Nothobranchius furzeri: one gene and its partners. The protein of the gene in region 2 purifies or fractionates together with the protein of the main gene of each other region. This does not show direct contact. Links are inferred from orthologs where the notes say so. Each region holds a gene or a part of one and is shown on either strand. Other genes may lie near its edges.

What was found.
Region 1: the proteins of seh1l (region 2) and nup133 purify together in Homo sapiens (affinity purification with mass spectrometry; 4 studies listed by BioGRID and IntAct, with this or other methods). This does not show direct contact. The link is inferred for Nothobranchius furzeri from reciprocal best matches to the Homo sapiens genes SEH1L and NUP133.
Region 3: the proteins of seh1l (region 2) and nup85 purify together in Homo sapiens (affinity purification with western blotting; 4 studies listed by BioGRID and IntAct, with this or other methods). This does not show direct contact. The link is inferred for Nothobranchius furzeri from reciprocal best matches to the Homo sapiens genes SEH1L and NUP85.

The regions. Positions count from the first base shown.
Region 1 is NC_091747.1:67,768,179-67,774,838, reverse strand, and holds part of nup133 (nuclear pore complex protein Nup133), read left to right. Parts: intron 1-1,431; coding exon 1,432-1,567; intron 1,568-2,412; coding exon 2,413-2,531; intron 2,532-4,178; coding exon 4,179-4,259; intron 4,260-4,337; coding exon 4,338-4,402; intron 4,403-6,056; coding exon 6,057-6,145; intron 6,146-6,660. UniProt on the Homo sapiens protein: Involved in poly(A)+ RNA transport. Involved in nephrogenesis.
Region 2 is NC_091745.1:49,023,178-49,029,937, forward strand, and holds the start of seh1l (nucleoporin SEH1), read right to left. Parts: upstream 3,316-6,760; 5' UTR 3,236-3,315; coding exon 3,125-3,235; intron 2,768-3,124; coding exon 2,717-2,767; intron 831-2,716; coding exon 684-830; intron 597-683; coding exon 385-596; intron 1-384. UniProt on the Homo sapiens protein: Component of the Nup107-160 subcomplex of the nuclear pore complex (NPC). The Nup107-160 subcomplex is required for the assembly of a functional NPC.
Region 3 is NC_091752.1:54,273,324-54,279,149, forward strand, and holds part of nup85 (nuclear pore complex protein Nup85), read left to right. Parts: intron 1-2,439; coding exon 2,440-2,562; intron 2,563-2,641; coding exon 2,642-2,773; intron 2,774-2,847; coding exon 2,848-2,951; intron 2,952-3,047; coding exon 3,048-3,131; intron 3,132-3,227; coding exon 3,228-3,293; intron 3,294-3,508; coding exon 3,509-3,660; intron 3,661-3,771; coding exon 3,772-3,889; intron 3,890-4,083; coding exon 4,084-4,184; intron 4,185-4,340; coding exon 4,341-4,492; intron 4,493-5,658; coding exon 5,659-5,760; intron 5,761-5,826. UniProt on the Homo sapiens protein: Essential component of the nuclear pore complex (NPC) that seems to be required for NPC assembly and maintenance. As part of the NPC Nup107-160 subcomplex plays a role in RNA export and in tethering NUP96/Nup98 and NUP153 to the nucleus.

The DNA of each region.
Region 1 (6,660 bases), on a different chromosome or scaffold from region 2:
TTTGCGGTCAGCTGCAGCGTGCAACGGGTTTTTGACAGCTTGTCCAAAGATGCTCTGGGTTAAAGAGGTTTTGCTCCGGACGGCCGGTCCGAAGCTTTCTCAAGAACTGACTCACGGTGAAGAGAGTCCTGTTTTAATAATCATCGTATTTTGATTTACTAACAAACCAGAATTTGACGTGTAAAAAGGTTTTTACCAACAAACCTCAGAAAACATGCCCTGTGTCAGATACAGGAGCTCTGATTGGTGGAACAGAAAGCACTGTGTCAGGATATTAGCTTAACCTTGTCATCATCACGTGTGTGAGCTGTCAGTAGATAGTGACTCACTGTTAAATCTAACTTTACTGATCATAACATCATAATATTCATTTCAACCTCAGTAATTTAAGCACAGATTAATCAAAACATTGTTATTGTCCTTCAACCATTATTGTTCATTATATGATTTAATTTAGAAAGTTCACCCGTCTTGTGCTGTGAATAAAAACCAGGCTTAGATAAGAGTGAGCTTGGAGAGACCTTGAAGCATCAGTGTGTTCTTGCAGATTAGAGCACCAGTTAAGACTTACGTCTCCAAATGAACCGAAACCGAGGAGGTGACCTGTAGATGGACAAACAGACCGTTTCCGGAGGCTAAACGTTCTAGCTGCTGTTTACATCCTGCCAGATGCGAACCCACACAAGGCTCAGCCCGTGCTCCAATATCCCTGGAGCGGGCGTACCTGGACCCCCTCATCATTGCTCTGGGAGATTTTAACTGGTCTGAGCCAGCAGCTTCCCAAATATAAACAGTAAATTAAATGCCCAACCATAGGGGAGACAACCCTGGAACACTGTTACAGCACGCTAACTAGAGCCTCCAGCTGCATTCAGACTTTCTGACCACGTGAGCGTCCATCTGATCCCTGCGTACAAACAAAGGCTAAAACTCTTTAAGCCTGCTGTGAAGTCGGCAAAACTGTGAAGAACGAGGCTGTAGATGAGCTCCGCACATGTAGACCACAGACTGGGAGGTAATGAGGGCTGCCTCTGACAGTTTAGTTTACACAGATACGTCACCTCCTACGTCCACTTCTGCTGAGTCCGCCATTTTCCACAGGGCTAGCCTCGCTGTTCAGAGCGGGCTTTTTGGAAACCCACAGTGGTGCCCTCTACTGGCTGGTAGGTGTAAACATCAACCCAGTGGCGTGCCCATCAAAATATACATTTGATTATTTTTCCATTAGAATGAACTTTTATTCATTCTGTAAGTGGCCTGTGGAGGTATTGCTTATTTAAAATATGAAGCTTTTTCTTAAGCTGTTCCATATTCAACCTTTAATTTTAAAGTAACGGTTTAACGGGCGACTGCTAATCAGAAGTATTTATGTTTACAGTCCAGCTGTGAGGCTGTTTACAGCACTAACGGTGTGACCCTCCACCTGTGCAGGCTCTCAGGACGCTGTACAGCCAGGCCAACATGGAGACGCGCTACTTTGCAAAGAAGACCACGCTGCTGGCTCTCAGTAAACTAACGGCGCTGGCGTCTGACCTGCCGGAGGAGGAACTCAACAAACAAGTGGATGGTAAAAACCCGGTCTACACGGAGCAGACGTCCTGGTGTTGGGATCATGTTGAAGAGGGACTGACACAGCTGGAAGCATGAGACAGAAACCAGTAGACCTCTAACCGCCCCATGCCCTGTGGCAGTGCAGCAGAAAGGACCTGTTACGGATTAAATACGTGTCCTGATGATTTTTAGTGAACTGTTATTGTTACATGACTTATTATCCTGACGTCTTCGCTGGTTAAAAATCCATTCATTCATCAACAGCATCATGTCTGTTAACTTAAGACTCTGTGTGATCTGAATGTCGTCATCTGTTCTTCTCGTGATGAGGGCTCTTCTCAGGGTATCCGCGGGTCCTTAAAAGTCTTAAAAAGTCTTAAATTTGCTTTTCTAAATTTAAGGCCTTAAAAATCCTTAAAAATGACAAATAATCCTTAAATACAGTTTCCAAAGGTCTTAAATTACCAAAGACCCAATGAACAAGAATTTCTAGTTGGTGTTCAGCATTTTTTGTGTATGATGTTGGCGTAAGCGGAACCATACACATTCAAATGGTTGTAAAAGGGGGCTGTTTTTAGATGAGCACATTAGCTGGTTAAGCTAGTGGGGGCTTGCGCTATGGGGAAGTGCAAGTTTAATGGTAACTGGGTGGGTAATCCCACGTTTGCGACATGGTTAGCAACGGTTCCAGGCAATACCTGGAAATTATAGCTTAAATTTAATTTAAAAAAAATGGCTTAAATTTGGTCAAACTGGCCTTAAAAAGGTCTTAAAAAGTCTTAAATTTGGCTCCCTTAAACCTGCAGATACCCTGTCTTCTGTTTTGATGTGATGCAGTCATTTATTTGTCTTGTCCCTCAGACATTGTGGAGCAGGAACGCTTCCTGCTGCATCAGGAGACTCTGCCCAGACAGCTCCTGGAGGAGAAGCAACTAAACCCCGACACCATGCCTCTGCTCAGCGCTCACAACCTCATACAGGTGAGCTGTAGCTACGGTCCAGGGCCAACCGTGTTACGAAAACACTTTATAGCTTTTTCTGGCCGAATTTGCAATTCCAATTCAAGATTTACTTTTCTAATCCAGATTCAGCTCATTGTTCACATGCACAGCAAGATTTATGACATCATACCCTCAAAACATGAAAAGCAGTTAATCTGATATGAAATCTGAAGGTAAAATGTACTTTAGATGCTTAAAAGTTCATGCATGCAGAGTTTTCCCAGCATCTTTTACCGAGCAGCGCCTCCTGGAGGTTCTCCTCACAAAAACTCGCCCCAGCACGTTTTGCGTACGTACTTGGATTTACCGTGACTCTGCAACCGTTTGTGCTGTCAGACAGATGTAAATGTTTTTAGTAGGGCTGGGAAATAATTAGAAACTTTATAATCGAAATTTCGGACTCTTATGGTGATCATTTTCCCACGTCAATACATTTGATAAAACAATGAAAGTGTGTAGGTTGGCAGCGTTCGTGTCCCTTTAAGGAGCGGGACCTGGGGTCATGTAAAAATGTGACCCAATGTAACACGTGGCAGCCCCATCTAGTGGACAACCTTTGTTTCTCGCGTACCTGTAGTTATCGTCCATTTATCGTTGTCGAGTTGAAATGATCAATAAATCGTGATATTGATTTTAGGCCGCATCGCCCAGCCCTAGTTCCAAGTCCACTTGGTGTCATTACTGGAAATCCCTATCTGCTGTCGGGGGACCTGGGCGAGTCAGACTCGCCGTCTCACGCTCACAAACCGAGGGACAGATTGAGCGACAGACAACCGTAGATATAAACGATATCCGCAGCTGCGCCACGAAAAGCATAAAAACCCATAAGAGTGACCAGCTGCACCACCGTCAGCCCCCACAACGCCGACACCCCTGCCTCCACTCGCGGCTACGGCCGAAATGCGTTTACGGCCTTGGGGGTGTTTTACGCCCAGAACATATTAGAAGAAAGTGCGACGATGCGCCGCGAAGCGCAGTGGGACGGCGAGCGCTTCTGATCGGCGCCCTTGTTGACCTACGCTCTCGGTCACATCCGCTGCGAAGCGCCACGGAGGCTCGCGCCGCGCAGCGATCGTTTTGGTGTGAGCTCTGATTTTTTTCGGAGCCGCATCAATTCTGACAAGAAGTCGAACCAAAGCAGAAGAGGCAAGCCGGTAAATTTAACAAAATAAAAGAAAATTTTCAAAATAAAACACTGCAATTGATAAATGTGATCATTTTTGTGTATCTAAACAGACTAGAGAGATGAAAATGAACACACACGCGCGCACGCACACACACACACACACACACGCAGCAAGGGCACAAGGGTGCGGTGGGGGGGTCGGAAGACAGTAGGCGTGAGCAGAAGCACTCGTTGACACAAATTTCGTGAGCGCTCCACTTCGCAGCTGGTGTGTTCCAGACGTGTAAAATAGTTGACACTACAGATCCTGAGTCAGTCGGATGCGAGCAACAAACCCGTAGCGTCGACGATCACGTGATGGTTTGAAATCAGAGTCGTTCAGCTCTGCTGCAAGCCGTGCCTTCCTGGAGCATCGTTGCTGGGAAGAAGTCACCAGCTGGCGGTCCTGCTGAAGTACAACAGGAGCCGGTCGCTTGTGTTGAAAGTGTCTTTCTCTGCAGCTCTACATCTGTGATGACAACAGGAGGGCCAACGAGTACGACTTCAAAAAGGCGTTGGACCTGCTCGAGTACATCCACAAGGTGACTTCCTGCTCATGTGTCGGACTGCTGAGGATCGATCTGGCTTTAGCTCATGAGGCTTTTCTGTTTGCGTTGCAGGAGGACTCTGTAGACATTGATGCTCTGAAGTGTGAGATCTTCGGCAAAGCACTCAGACGAGATGAGTAAGCTCTGACACGTGTATGGTTATCGGTTCAGTAGTCACAAACCTCCGACACCTCATCACCCCCTCCCACTTTAGGCTGAAATTAAACTGTAAAACTGGTGAAATAGCAGTTTAGTTTTTAAATACCCAGAGTTTGTTTTAATAACAATCTCACCGGGTCAAATGTTCTTTGTTTAAGGGACGTTTGTTCATGTTTCAGCTTGGCTGCTGGCCAGGTTTTGTTTAGACTTAGACTTGCTTTTATCTTTTTATTTATTTATTTATTTTCCCCGTGTCCTGTCTGGCTGTGAAGCTAACTCTCAGGCACACTCCAGGACCCCCCTAAGGGTATAGAGCTGGTGCAGTGTTCCACGACCAGGGCGAAAACCACATTGCTAATCCGGAACCTGAGGCTCGACAGCCCAACGGACCCTCCTCTCCAGAACCCCTGAATAGACCTCACCAGAGAGGCTCAGGAGTGTGATACCCCTGTAGTTGGAACACATCCTGCGGTCCCCCTTTTATAAATCGGTGTACCAGAAATGTATAAAAAAACTAAAGTAGTGAGGAGTAAAAATAAAGCTACTGCATGATGAGCTGTTGCACTAAAGATGACATCATAACAGCATGTCTATAGTCCCCCGAGGTTCCTAAAGGTGGTGGAGGGAAAGGTGTGATGTGTCTGAATCTGGACATCCTGCTGCAGATGCTGCAGAACCACATGTCCATGGTGGGGATAGGTGGGGTCTGAGGCTATGCGCTGCGCTGCAAAGGCCGTCTGTTTTTCCTGTGAGCGAGGAGAGGTGTTGGAAAGAAGGTTACATCGAAACAGATTTCCATCTCAGCCGGCTTGGAGGGATTGTCAGTTTTTACAATCTGTGAGCCGGCGGGGCTGCCGAGTCGCTAGCGAGCTAACGCTGCTGCACCGGGACTTGTAATTTGACCCGGCAGGCAAAAGCTCTAGAGTTGTTTAGAAAAAAAACAAAGCCAGTAAACAGGAGCGACCAAGAAGTGATTTCATGTACCCCTAAGAAGCCATGGCATCTTTGTGTTTTACTCTAATATTGGGTGAAGCAGGCTAGAGACTAACGTTAAGCTAACAATGCTAACAGTGAATTAGAGGCAAATAGTCGTCTGTAAATCTTTCTGAAGTTATTGTTTCAGGTACCAACAAATAGATAGTACAATCAATGTTTTTTATCTTTATGTCTACTTACTGTGAGTGACTCGTCTTCACTTGTCATCTAGAATGTTCTGGTGCTGATCCATAACTGGCAACAGCCATGAAGCTCTCAAAGAAAGAGTGAGAGAGTCCCCCGTTTGTTTTGAAAATGGCTGCAAATTTACCCCAAAAGGTCCAGGTTGTCCACTGGTTTAAATGACCCAAAGCTATAAAGTATAAATGAAGTATAAATAAAAGTATAAATGAAGCGACGGTGGAGGGAAGTGGACAACACGTCCATGAACTTGTTTATTGTAGCGATTTGTTGAATCGATGAAAAAGCATTAAAGATCCAAAGTCTCTGGACTTCTGATGCAAAGTTCTGAAACAATCTCTCTTCTGTTGTTAATGATGAGTGGAACCAGGCCATGGGTGATGCCTCCTAGTGCCTCACTGATGGATGACTTCTGATTGACTTCCATGTGTTTGACTGCTTCTGCCTGCCTTTCAGCTGGTCCTCTGTTGATGGGAACGACGATCCTATAGAAGCAGCTAAGGACAGCATCTTTGTGAAGATCCTCCTCAAAGTAATACAAGAAGGTTTGTACTTGGTGCTTTAAAGGATATAATACTCCGCTAGCAATAATCACGACATAAATGGTTCACTGAGTGTAGACGGCGCCAGCAAAAACATGTAGTTTGAAATTCCATAAATGTAAAAGTGGTAGAACATGTAATGAACCCATGCCTAGTAAAGGAAGGAGACTAGTTCAGCCAGGAAAGGATTTTGAGTTGGTCTGAAGCAGCGGAGACTTGTATGTATGGGAACGGAGCACATCACTCCTGTTCTTAGATCCCTACACTGGTTACCAGTAAACTACAGAATACACTACAAAGTGCTACTACTAGTTTATAAATCACTCAATGGCATGGGACCAAAATACACGTCCGATCTCATTCCTGTATATAAACACCCAACAGGGCTCTGAGATCCCTGGAAACAATCAGCTGGTAGAACCTCGGGTCAGAACCAAACATGGTGGAGATGCATTTAGTTACTATGCTGCTCACATATGGAATCAGCTTCCCCATGACCTCAGACCTGCCCCAGCCCT
Region 2 (6,760 bases):
AGAAAAGCACTTTTAAACAAAGATGAGGGTAAGATGTCGAGGGGGCATGCAGAGGTCTTCATAGAGTTAACTAGTTTGGTTAACTCAGGCAAAGAAACAGGTGCAAAGCTATCTAGGATGATGGGTCTGGTTGGAGTCGGGAGAGGCAGCGATAAGGCTGAAGGAGAGATGCTAGATCTGACCTTATTGACTTTGTCCACAAAGAAAGACAGAAAGTTCTCACAGTCTGTAACACCTCTTGTGTAATGACCTCTTGTCATAAAACAAGACATAAAGGAATGGCAGCAGCAACAGTGATGCTCAGGTTTAAGGAAATTCTCCAAATGACCGATTACAGAAACAAACATGTCCCCCATGTGTTAAGTGAAATAATTATCATCTAACCTGGAAGGGTTCCAGGATATACAGCTGCAGCTGAGCTTGCATGAGATCTCGTGCTGCAGAGACCACTGGCTCAGGTTCATCACGTCAGGAGCCTCGTAGATCCTCACCACTCCATCAGCAGAGCAGGTGGCCAGCATCAGACCCATGTGTTTAGGAGCAAACTTCACATCAGTTACAGATGTTCTGCTGTCCACCAGTGTTGTTCTCTTTATCTGAATCAGAGCACCAGAAACACGGGTCAGGACTCGAGACAGGCAAACCTATGAAAACATTAATGACTGAGCTGTGGCTGTACAAACCCAGTGGCTCAGGCCTCTCTGTTTGTCATTGGACTCCCCTACGATCTCCTCCCAGACAGCAGCTGTTCTGTCGAAGGAGCAGGAGGCCAGGACCTGCCCAAACTCTGGATGGGCCCAGGTTACTCTCCACACTGATCCACTGTGGGTCTGCACACACATCATTACATCATGGATAAGTCCAAAATACACAAATATACACTCACCAGTCACTTCATAGGTACATCTGCTACCTCTGGGGTCAATCTTTCGTAAACATGGCCTATCATTCCATCTGTATGCTGACGATTGCCAGATTTACTCTCCATTGTGTCAGGAGAAAGGTCACTTTATTCAGTCCTTTGTCTCCTGTGTTAATGAGGTGAAGTCTTGGCTAATGTCCAACTATCTACATCTGAATGAGGGAAAGACAGAGCTCATTGTTTTTCACCCCAACAGCAGGAATGTGGATCGTTATGCTGATCTTGGCCCTCTTTCTCCATACTCAAAACCAGTTGTTACCAGTTTGGGGGTGAAACTTGATGTAGGACTTAAATTTGATGCTCACATCAATTCTGTGATCCGGTCCAGTTTCTTTCACCTGAGACGCCTTGCTAAAATCAAGCATATGCTGTCAAGAGCCCACCTGGAGCGGGTACTGCATGCCTTTCTAATTTCTTGGCTTGACTACTGCAACTCTCTATATGCAGGGTTGTATCAGTCAACACTGCATCGCCTACAGGTTGTGCAGAACAGCGCTGCCAGGTTCCTGACTGGGACCAGGAAACGGGACCACATCAGTCCAGTTCTGGCCTCCCTGCACTGGCTTCCGATTTCCTATCGCTCACAATTCAAAATACTCGTCTTTGTTTATCATTTCTTCCAGGGTGGTGCTCCCCCCTATCTAGCCACACTCCTGAAAAGACACTCCCCATCACGCGCTCTGCGCTCCTCTGACCAAGGCCTGCTCGCTGTCCCTCGGTCTAGGTGTCGTACCCGTGGGGACCGAGCTTTCTCAGTCCTAGCACCGTTACTCTGGAACCAGTTGCCACCCTCAGTTAGGCTGTCCCCTTCTCTGCCAGTCTTTAAGAATCACCTAAAAACACACCTCCTCCGCTTGGCATTTCCAGAACATGTTTGATTTTGGCACTCTTTTATGTTGAATCCATTCCACAGTTTTCATTGGTACACTCAATCCATCCACTCAATCCAAATGTGTTTCACACATTTGTATTTTACCGGAATGTTTCATCTATCTTGTAATTTCCATTTTGTATTTTGTAATTTGTATTTTGTAATTTGAATTTCTTTTATTGTTGATTTATTCAATATAATTACTTACAACTGTACCATGTTCAGCGCTTTGGGCTTCCTGACAGGGTTGCGGAAGGCGCTTTATAAATAAAGCTTTGATTGATTGAAAGCTTTGATTGATTGACCTATTCTACAGCTTTGCACATTTCCACTCAGCCAATCGCATGACGGGCGGCACTGTCCATTTAGGCATCTAGACATGATGAAGGCTACTTGCTGAAGTTGAAACTGAGCATCAGAATGTGGAGGAAAAGACATTTCCATGGTTTGAATGTTGTATAGAATAGAAGAAGAGAAGCTGAAGAGTTTGACCATGTCCAGCCCTTTATGACCACATAGACCCATCTTCTGATGCTACTTCCAGCAGCACCATGTCACATAGCTCAGATCATCTCTAACTAGTTTCTAGAACTGGACTCTAATGGCCTCCACAGTCAACAGATCTCAGTCCAGCCCAGAACCTTTGGGATGTGGTGGAACTGGAGCTTCTCATCATGGTTGGAGCCGATGCTGTCATGTCAGGTTGGACCAGAGCCTCTGAGGACCACTTTAACTTCTTGTTGGCTCTTTGAGATGAAGGATTAAGGTGGTTCTAAAGAGGTCTAAAAGAGGTCCAACCCGGATCTATTGGCAAACTTGATAGTGCCCGTGAGTGTAGAGCAATAGTAAATCTGTTGAAACAGCAAAGATTACCCAGGAAGGGCTTTTACGGTCATGTAAACAAACGTAAGCAGGTTGTTTACCTTCCAGCTGGCTGTGCAGTGCCACTCTCCATTCTCACTTTTGTCCCAAACCTGTCAGGAAGTCACAATAAACAGCTGCTGTTACGTCATCTCCACACATTAATTTTAAACTGACAACACACGAAATGAGTTCCTATGGTTCCTACCTAAAACACAACACTCGCTGCCTTACGTGATTGAAGCTTTTACTGATACGTTCATATTCCAGTCAAACGTCTGCACACATTAGCCTGCATGCTACAATGTAAGTACAGTAACATGCAATACTTTAAATTAGTTTATAGTTTTAAAACAAATTTTGTCTAATTTAGCTAATAAGCGCATAATGTGCCAGCACACAACACGAGTGTGTTCAGTAAGAAGCTAGGAACGTGGGTGACGCTAACATGCTAGCTTGAGTCAGCTCACCTTCACACTCTGGTCGCTGGAGCATGTTGCCATTCTCCGGCCGTGAAAATCGTAAGAGACATCGTGGATCAGATCTTTATGGTCCGCAGCGATACTCCGAGCTACGAACATGGTTAGAAGAAAAACAACAGCGAGATTAGCTGCACTGCACTGGTTAGCACAAGCTCCCGCCTGTCACGTGACAGAGAGAAAGAGAGAGAGAGAGAGAGAGAGAGAGAGAGAGAGAGAGAGAGAGAGAGAGAGAGAGAGAGAGAGAGAGAGAGAGAGAGAGAGAGAGAGAGAGAGAGAGAGAGAGAGAGAGAGAGAGGTTTTTGAACAGTGAACCACATTGGGGGGGGGGGTGCTTCAATTCAAACAGGGTTGCCAAGTTTGGCGAATTTACTGCATTTTAGATACAAATGAGATGTTCATGGTACACTTAAGCATAAGTCACTCACTTCTTAGGGTTCTACAACCCCCTTCAAAGCACTTTACAATACAACCAGTTATTCACACACACACACACACACACACACACACACACACACACACACACACACACACACACACACACACACACACACACACACACACACACAAACACACACACACACACACACACACACACACACACACACACACACACACACAATGAGCCCCAGGGCAACTGTAGCTACGATGTAGCTCATCACCACCAGCACCAGCATGTTAATGTTTATGCATTGGGGAATTACACTTTGGTTTTGTTAAGAAGGGAAGGGGAGATGACCGTGTTTAACCTGTAACATAAATACAGTTATTATTGCATTTTTAGCTAAACAATAAGAGAATGAGTTCCCCTCATGAGTTGCTATGGCCACAAATGCTGTAGCATTTCATTTAATTAAAGAGCAAGTCACACTACAAGAAACTTACTACACTCCCACTTCATGTTTGAAAAATGCAACGAATGCGTTTGCCTGGCTGACCGAGAGGGCGGAGCCGTTAACAAACACACACAAACAGGTTCACAACGGCATTGTGACATCATAATGTACCAGCTGACTTCAAAGGGTACCTCTTAGCCAACAGTGATGGCAGATTTAAATTCAAATGTAGTGCAGAGTTTTTACCTGAAGGGGGCGCAACACTGACAGTTTTAGGCTGCATATTTAAATTATAAGATGCACTAAAGTGCCAAATTATTGACTACACACATCTATAGAGCTCCGGACCCCACGTGACTCTCAGTTAGTAGACGCCATATTGGCAGGGAAAAAATGGTAAACAAACACGGATCGTAAACATGAACATGAACGGGATCGGCTTGGATTTTACTTCGTCTGAGTTTACTTCACACTTTAAAACTGAAGAAATCGTTTTATATAGTCAGAAATTAAATAGACCAAACATCTCCGACCCTTAACCGTGCCCCTGGGATACTTTTTTAAAACGCCAGAAGCTGTCGGAGCGGACTTCTTACCGGATCTGGCCGGGGAACCCCTTGGGATTTCCCCGGAGGAGCTGGCTCAGGCGGCTGGGGAAAGGGAAGTCTGGACCTCTCGACGCTACTGCCCCCGCAACCCGACTCCGGATAAGCGGATGAAAATGGATGGATGGACAAATAACAGATTTACACGTAAGTAGTTTAAATAGAGTGCTGTGCTGTTTGAATGTATAAACTGAACACCAAGAGAAATCACTAGTTTGATTGTTTTCCATGAATAAAATAAATATGTCAGGCAGGAGCGTCTCAGGATCTGTCTGAGATCTGACTCGGTGAGACAAATAATAGCAATCCAAAATGCTTTTTATGTGTGATCTGACAATTGATCAACCATTGCTTAAAAATTAAATACAGCTTAGCCGGTTAACTGCTGTGATCATAAAACACGTAAACGGCAGCACGCAGAACTCACGAGGCAACGTTTTACGTGATGTTTACTTGCTGCTATGAGTAATAAGACAGAAAAAGCCACGCCAAAATAAGTTTAGGAAGCCCACTAAGAATCGTAATAAAAGCATTTAAAATAAACACCATACACAGTTGAGGAAACGTTGTTTAAGTACCTGATATGAAGCGGTCGCTGCATAAGCGAAAACCTTTACTCTCGGGGTCCCACAGCTTCATTTCAGCCCGGTCACTAGCGCGTTTTATTACAATGATCCAACGTTTGCGGTGCTCCGGATCTTGGGGAATCCTGTAGATGGCTCATTCCTTATGTCGTCCGTGTCTGTTCTGCATCCTGGGGCACAACAGGAATCTACCATATTTCCTGTCTGATTGAGTTTTCTGACAATAACAAATAGTCCAGCTGCCGGCTTCTGCATGCCAATATGGCGCCATTTCGATTTGAACTGTTGCATGCCGGGAGAAGTGATGTCAGCTCCCGGAGCTCTATAGCACCATTAGACACTCGTCTATATAGTTTATCAGTAAAATAAGTTGATTTGGGGTGACTTGCTCTTTAAAAAACGGTTTCTACTGAGTAACTATTGAATGTACTCCTTCTCCTTAATATTAATACTCCCATGAAGACAAAAAAAATGTAGGATTTTGTTTTCCAGCTTCACTGAGATAAGCAGGTTTGTGTAGCTCTAACTGATTGCCACTGTGGGGGCTCTAACATAGCTCTTCATTAAGTAAAGTTTGTAGCGCTGTAGCTAGCTGGATTTGCCCTTTGACTCCACACAACTATTGAATATAACACTTACATAAATACAGTTTTCATTGTGTTTTAGATGAATAAAAAGATTAAAAAAAACAGTTAGAGTGAGTTTCCCTGTTGCTATCATGCTATCATGCTATCAGCTATAATGAATGTCTCTGACCTGTGAACCATCAGCACCGGTTCCCCTCAAGGCTGCGTTATCTCTCATCTGCTCTTCTCGCTGTACACCAACAGCTGCACCTCCAACCATGAGTCTGTGAAGCCTATCAAGTTTGCAGACGACACCACCGTCATCTCACTCATCTCTGATGGGGATGAGTCTGCGTACGTAAGAAGGTGGAACGGCTGGAGTCCTGGTGCAGCCACAACAACCTGGTGCTAAACACCCAGAAGACAGCAGAGGTCGTTGTGGACTTTAGGTAGCCCCCCCCCCCCCCCCCCCCCCACACACACACACACACCTGTAACCCCGTTTGACACTCCCATCATGATGGTGGACTCATGTTGCTTCCTGGGAGCCACCATCACCTCCATCATAAAAAGGTCCAGCAGAGGATGAACGTCCTGAGACAGCTGAAGAAATTCAACCTATAAGTATAGTCAATGAAGTTCTACACCTCAGTCTTCAAGTTCATCTTCACCTCTTCAATCACCGTGTGTGGTATGCTGGAGCCACACACATACTCTCCTCCAAATCCAGCTTGAATCCAACGTAACATTGTGTGTTGTAATAATCAAATTTCTTTATTATCATTGTATGTATTATTATACAACTGCAAAATCAGGTTTATTATGTAGGTTATTACTATATAATTACAAAATGTGTATTGTATAATTACTAAATAAAACCTGACGGAGAATTTAACGAGTGTTATTTTGTTTTTAGCCAGTAAAGAATATGTTTAAGTTTTGATGATAAAGTTTTTTTTTTTTTTTTTGCACAAGCGCTGAAAAAAGCCTCCCGCTCGCTTGAAGCGCGCGCAGAGATGCATAACTGGCAACCCAC
Region 3 (5,826 bases), on a different chromosome or scaffold from region 2:
CTGGGAATCAGGAGTTCTTTTAGTGATCATCTTGTTTTTTGTTTATTTTTGCCCTGATTGTGCCCTGAGCAGTTTTATGACTGAATAAAAAAAAAATCTACATAAATTGAAAAATCGTCTTAAATAATCGAGATCTCAATTTCAGTCACAATAATCGTGATTATTGTTTTTGCCATAATCGAGCAGCCCTACTTTAGCATATCCGGTCACATTATGATGACGTCATATTCAGTGGTTCTGCATCATTTCAGGCCCCGTGGTCAACTGTCTGAACCGCTGAACAGAAGTGCCTGGCTTATTTTCTAAGTAAAATAAATATGCGCAATACGTTGTCAACATCAGTGAGTCTCTAAGTCTATTCTTTTTGTATGTTATATATGTTAAAATATGTGTAAATAGGTCGCTGATTAACACTTGCAATTTAGTGTTGTGATGGTTTTAAAAAAATTCTGAAGGTAGTAAAAAAGGTATTAAAAAGTAGTAAATTTTACTTAAGGATTGCTGTATATACCCTGGACTCGTTATGTGCCAAACCGGGCGTTGAGGTCTGCTGATTGCCTGCTGCTTTGCGTTCCAACAATGGAATGCAAAACGCGGGGGCAGCGTGCTTTTGTCTATGCTGCTCCGACACTCTGGAATGCTCTTCCTCTTTCAGTGAGGCTGGCACCATCCCTCCTCCGGTTCAAGTCGCTACTTAAGGCTCACTTTTATGACCAGGCATTTTTAAATCCCTGACTTTTATTATTTTATTATGTGTCTTTTATTGACCGTGATTATCTGCCTTGTTGTGCATTTTATTGTTGACTGTGTATTGTTTTATATTGTGTTTTTACTTTTTATTCTGTACAGCACTTTGGTCGGCTGCCATGCCGTTTTTAAATGTGCTTTATAAATGTATGGTATGGTATGATGGATAAAAGTCCGCTCAGAGTCAAAGATGACACCCAGGTTCTTCACTTGTGAAGATGGATTAAAAGGCATTGATTGCAGTTTTGGTAAAAGTTTCTTTCTCTGGGCCTCAGGACGATTACTAAAACTTCAGTTTTGTCCTGGTTAAGCTGGAGAAAGTTTCCTGCCATTCAGGATTTGATGTCTAAAATGCAGTTAAAAAGTGCATCCATTGACTGTGTGTCATCAGGAGACACCAAGATGTACAGCTGTGTATCATCCGCGTAACTGTGGAAATTCACCCCATGTGTCCTGATGACACTGCCAAGAGGGAGCATATAAAGGTTAAAAAGCACTGGGCCTAAAATTGAACCCTGGGGCACACCACATGTAATCCCGTGAACCCTAGAGGATCAGGTATCCAAACTCACCATAAAAGTCCTGTCTGTGAGGTAGGAAGTGAACCATCGGCCGATCCGTTTCAGAGTTAAAGGAATACTACTGTATCAAAGGCAGCACTTAGATCCAGGAGAACCAACACAGTCACCTTCCGTTTAGCATAATTTACTCTAAAATTATTTAAAATCTTCAGAAGGGCCATCTTGGTGCTGTGGTTCACCCTAAAACCAGACTGAAATTTTTCTAAGATATTATGGGTGTTGAATTAAAACAAGCTTTTCTAAAAATTTTGCTTAAAAATGGTAAGTTGGAAACCGGTTGATAATTGTTTAAGTCATTAAAACCTAAATTGCTCTTCTTCAGCAGGGGCCTCACCACCGCCCATTTAAAAGCGGCAGGAAAGACCCCCGTCTGAAGAGAGCAATTCATCATAGTTAAAACCGCATCTCTAAAAGAATCAGAATTGTTTAAAAAAAACTAGTGGGAATAGGGTCCAGGACACATGTGGTGGGCCTCACTGAGGAGAAAACTTATCAAGACTCTCAATAGAAAACTGACGTGGAAACGCTTGGATCAGAAAAGCCACAAAGATCTCTGTCACACTGTAACTTAGCATTCATCGTGGCTCATTACGGCTGTTGTTGGTTTAGTGTCCAGGAAGCGGCAGAGACTAGTAGAAGCTAACCGTTAGCATTAGTAACTCCACAACACAGCAGAACTCCTCCAGGCTTGTGTTATTTGGGATAAAATCAATGTTGCAACGGTAACAGTCAGTGATAGAGTCGTGTTGCTGAAATGTCAGAGCATCAGGAAATAAGACTCCAAAGCCCTCAGGCTTCTAAAATGTTTTCTTTAAACTGTCTTATTAAAAAAAGAAGTAATTTTATTTTATAACAAAGACAAAATGAACTTATTTAATAAACCCTCATTCTTCTGTTCTTTACTCCTCTGGCTAACTTCTTGTTCCTGAAACAGGAGCACCGGAGCTATTTCTCCACAGTGATTGACTCTAAAGGCATTTGTCTACACTAGTGATCACTGCTAATGTATTGAAAGCAAGTGAACTTGGATTTTAAACTTCTGCTTATTGTTAAATATTAAAACATGACTCTGCTGATTTTATTTCCTACATTTTCCAAAAACCCCTCTCAGCCTGGCGGCACTCAGACACTAACAGAGTTTGATGTGAAGTGGAGGAACTGGCACGAGGAGGTGGACCGCTACCTGAAGGATAACTCATTTGCAAGCAACCAACACCTGGAGGTCATCTGCAAAGTCAGTGACAGCTTGAGTTGTGGTTTGGTCACGTTTTCTGATGTGAACTGAATCAAACAGGGTGTTGATGCAACCTTAGATCCTACTGGGGGATGAAGACGTGTTGTTGGAGCACAAGGAACTTCTCAGCACCTGGTACTACTTCCTCATCACCAGACTCCTCTACTGCCATCCCACAGTGAAGCCCACAGAGTTGCATTACTACGCTCAGGTAGCCCCCGAGTCTGCAGCACTGACTCTGAGCACATGTAGTTTACCTGACCCGTGTGTTTGTGTCGTCTGCAGTCGTCTATGATGATGTTTCTGGATTCGGGCGTGCCGGAGCCGTTGGACAGCATCCTGCTGGCTGCCTTTGAGTTTGACATTCATCAGGTCATCAAGGACTGCAGGTAACCGACAGGGTCTACCATATTAATCACATTCAAGGTGCTTAACAAGTCAGTTCACGAGTCCTTGAACGGTCGGCGTCTCCCTTGTCCCCGCAGTATTGCTCTCAACAACTGGTGGTTTGTGGCTCATTTAACAGACCTGTTGGATCACTGCAAACTCCTCCAGTCTCATAATCTCCAGTAGGGATGATTTCTTTTATCTGGTTTTAATCCAGAGAGGATAAAATTACACAGTTAATTAATCTAATCTGTGTGTGTGTGTGTGTGTGTATGTAGTTTTGGATCCAACTTGAGAGAGTTCCTGCTGTTAGAATACGCCTCTGGTCTGTTCACGCATCACAGGTATGGCTCCCTTGTGACCGTTTAACCACACAGTAACATGTTTACACCTGAGGGACTGTCTAGTGGCACACTTGTGTTTTGGGTTTCAGTCACACAGAAAATCAACGACGACAAAAAAATGTCCTGCAATCATCGAACTGGATCCAAACATTGAAATATGAGTCGTTCTCTGTTATTTTAGCGTTCACTAACCAGATGTTTCTGTGTGTTTTTAGTCTCTGGCAGTGTGCCGTGGATTATTTCGATCACTGCCCAGAATTTGGCCGCGTCTATCTGGAGCTGCAGATCGAGCGAGTTCCTTTGGACACGGAGCGCAAAGCGCTCAAAGTGCTCCGAATTTGTGAGGAGAGGCAGATGTCAGAGCAGGGTAGGGGCTCGGTCGTCCTTTTTATCAGTTTGTGTCACAAAGCTAATCTCTCTGGTGTAAGCTAGGCTGGAAAAGCTTGACCTGGTTTGTTTTTTGTTGTTTTGGTCCCAGTGCGGAGCATCTGTAAGATCATGGCCATGCGGGCTGTAAGGAACAACCGACTGGGCTCTGCTCTCTCCTGGAGCATCCGAGCCAAAGATGCTGCGTTTGCCACCCTGATTTCAGAGAGGTCACATCCCTTTAGTGGTGCTCTTACTGAAATATACACAACTGACAGCTTCATCTTCATTCTCCAGGAACACATTTAACTTTTACCTACATGCTTCTTAAGCTTTTTATAAGTATCACTGTTGGGCTTATTAGTTCACTAAATGTCTTTCTCTCTGAAAATGATTTGAAGTTGTTTTTGTGTTTGTGTTTTAGGTTCCTGCAGGATTACTGCGCCAAAGGCACCTTCTCTGATCTGGATCTGATCGACAACCTGGGCTCAACCATGCTGCTCAGCGACAGGCTAACCTTCCTTGGTAGGAGCCTGAACACACACACACACACACACACACACACACACACACACACACACACACAAGACTAATAGAAACAGAACCAGTATCCGCTTGATGCAACAACATGTGATGGTGAGAATTTCTGGAGGATGATTTGATAGAAATGATTCTCTCCAGGAAAATACCGTGAGTTCCACAAGCTGTACGGAGAGAAGTGCTTCAGCGATGCTGCAAAGCTGCTACTCTCCCTCATGACGGCTAAAATCGCTCCCCAAAGCTTCTGGATGACGCTGCTGACGGATGCTCTGCCTCTGCTGGAGCAGAAAGAGGTCAGTCCACACCTGAACATCGGTTTAAAGTAGATTTGTTATTACAAAATCAAGAACTTTAGTTTATCCCTTTGATGCATAATGGTCACTACAGTGGACAGGTACTCAAAATAGTTATTTATTTATTTTTGCTATTAAGCACAGCTGTTGAAGACTTTATTGCATGTGAGCCTCTCCAGTTGGACTTCAGTAAGGCAAGCCAACATATTTCATGTTCAGAATGCACGCTGTCCACTGAGATAGACATGTAATAAAGTATTTGTAAATTAACAAAATGTTACAAAGAATATTTGTTGAAATTTGTTTAATTCACACCTAAAGATGAATGAAACAAATTGTTTAAAAAATCATGGTTGAAGATCTCATAATTCATGCATCAGAGGGTTAAATGCACAAATCTGGAGCATTCAGATGTTGTTAAATGAATGTTTTGATCCTGTTTAAGATCATTTGTGACCTCCTGGTCAGAGTTTTGTGTGCATGAAAAATGCTGCACAAATAGAATAAGTAATATCTATCTTTAAGTAGGTATTTGTGGAACTTTTTATTCATCATTAAAAATTAATTAATTTATGTAGTTTTTTTGAGTGACACACTACCGTATGTTATTTTTAATGTGAACATTACTACCCCTGTTTTATTAAAGGGGCACTTTGCAACTTTTTCATATTTTGAAGTCATTTTCTTGAGCCAGTTTGTGCTAAAATGACCCTTTTTGAGGTTAATTAAAGGCCACACAGCTCCTATCATCTCTCCCCCCCCCCCCACCCCCCCATGTGGCAGAATATCCCACTTGCAACCCCAGAGTGCCGGTAAAAAATTGAGCTGACACACCTGGCGCTGCAGTCTGCTTCCTGCATGTTTTGGATCGGGAACACATCTGATATGTTTGATTTGGTGACGACTCACTCCTGTAGACACTAATGAAGGCTGAGGAGTCATTTCAGCTGTTAGATTAAGGTGTTAAAAAGACGAACGCACAGCGAGGAGATTTCTTGGGGGTGCTAAAACTGCCTAGTTACCATTTAAACCAACTGACTACTAAACATGTTTCTTGTAAGAGTTAGCATATCAAAAATTGAGCTATTTGTCATTTTTTATTATGTGGATGAAAAAATCCGAACAGTTGGAGTTTCAGTGGAGTAACTTGTTCTCCTTGTTTTCAGGTGATCTTCTCTGCAGAGCAAACCTATGAGTTGATGTACTGCTTAGAGGAGCTCACCTCCTCTCTGATCACTGCTGCTTCTGGATCAGGCAGACCCATGCAGGTCTTTATTCTTCTTTCAGCTCGTCCCAGCAGCTGGACATTCCTGTTTCATAGTTTTAACACAAAC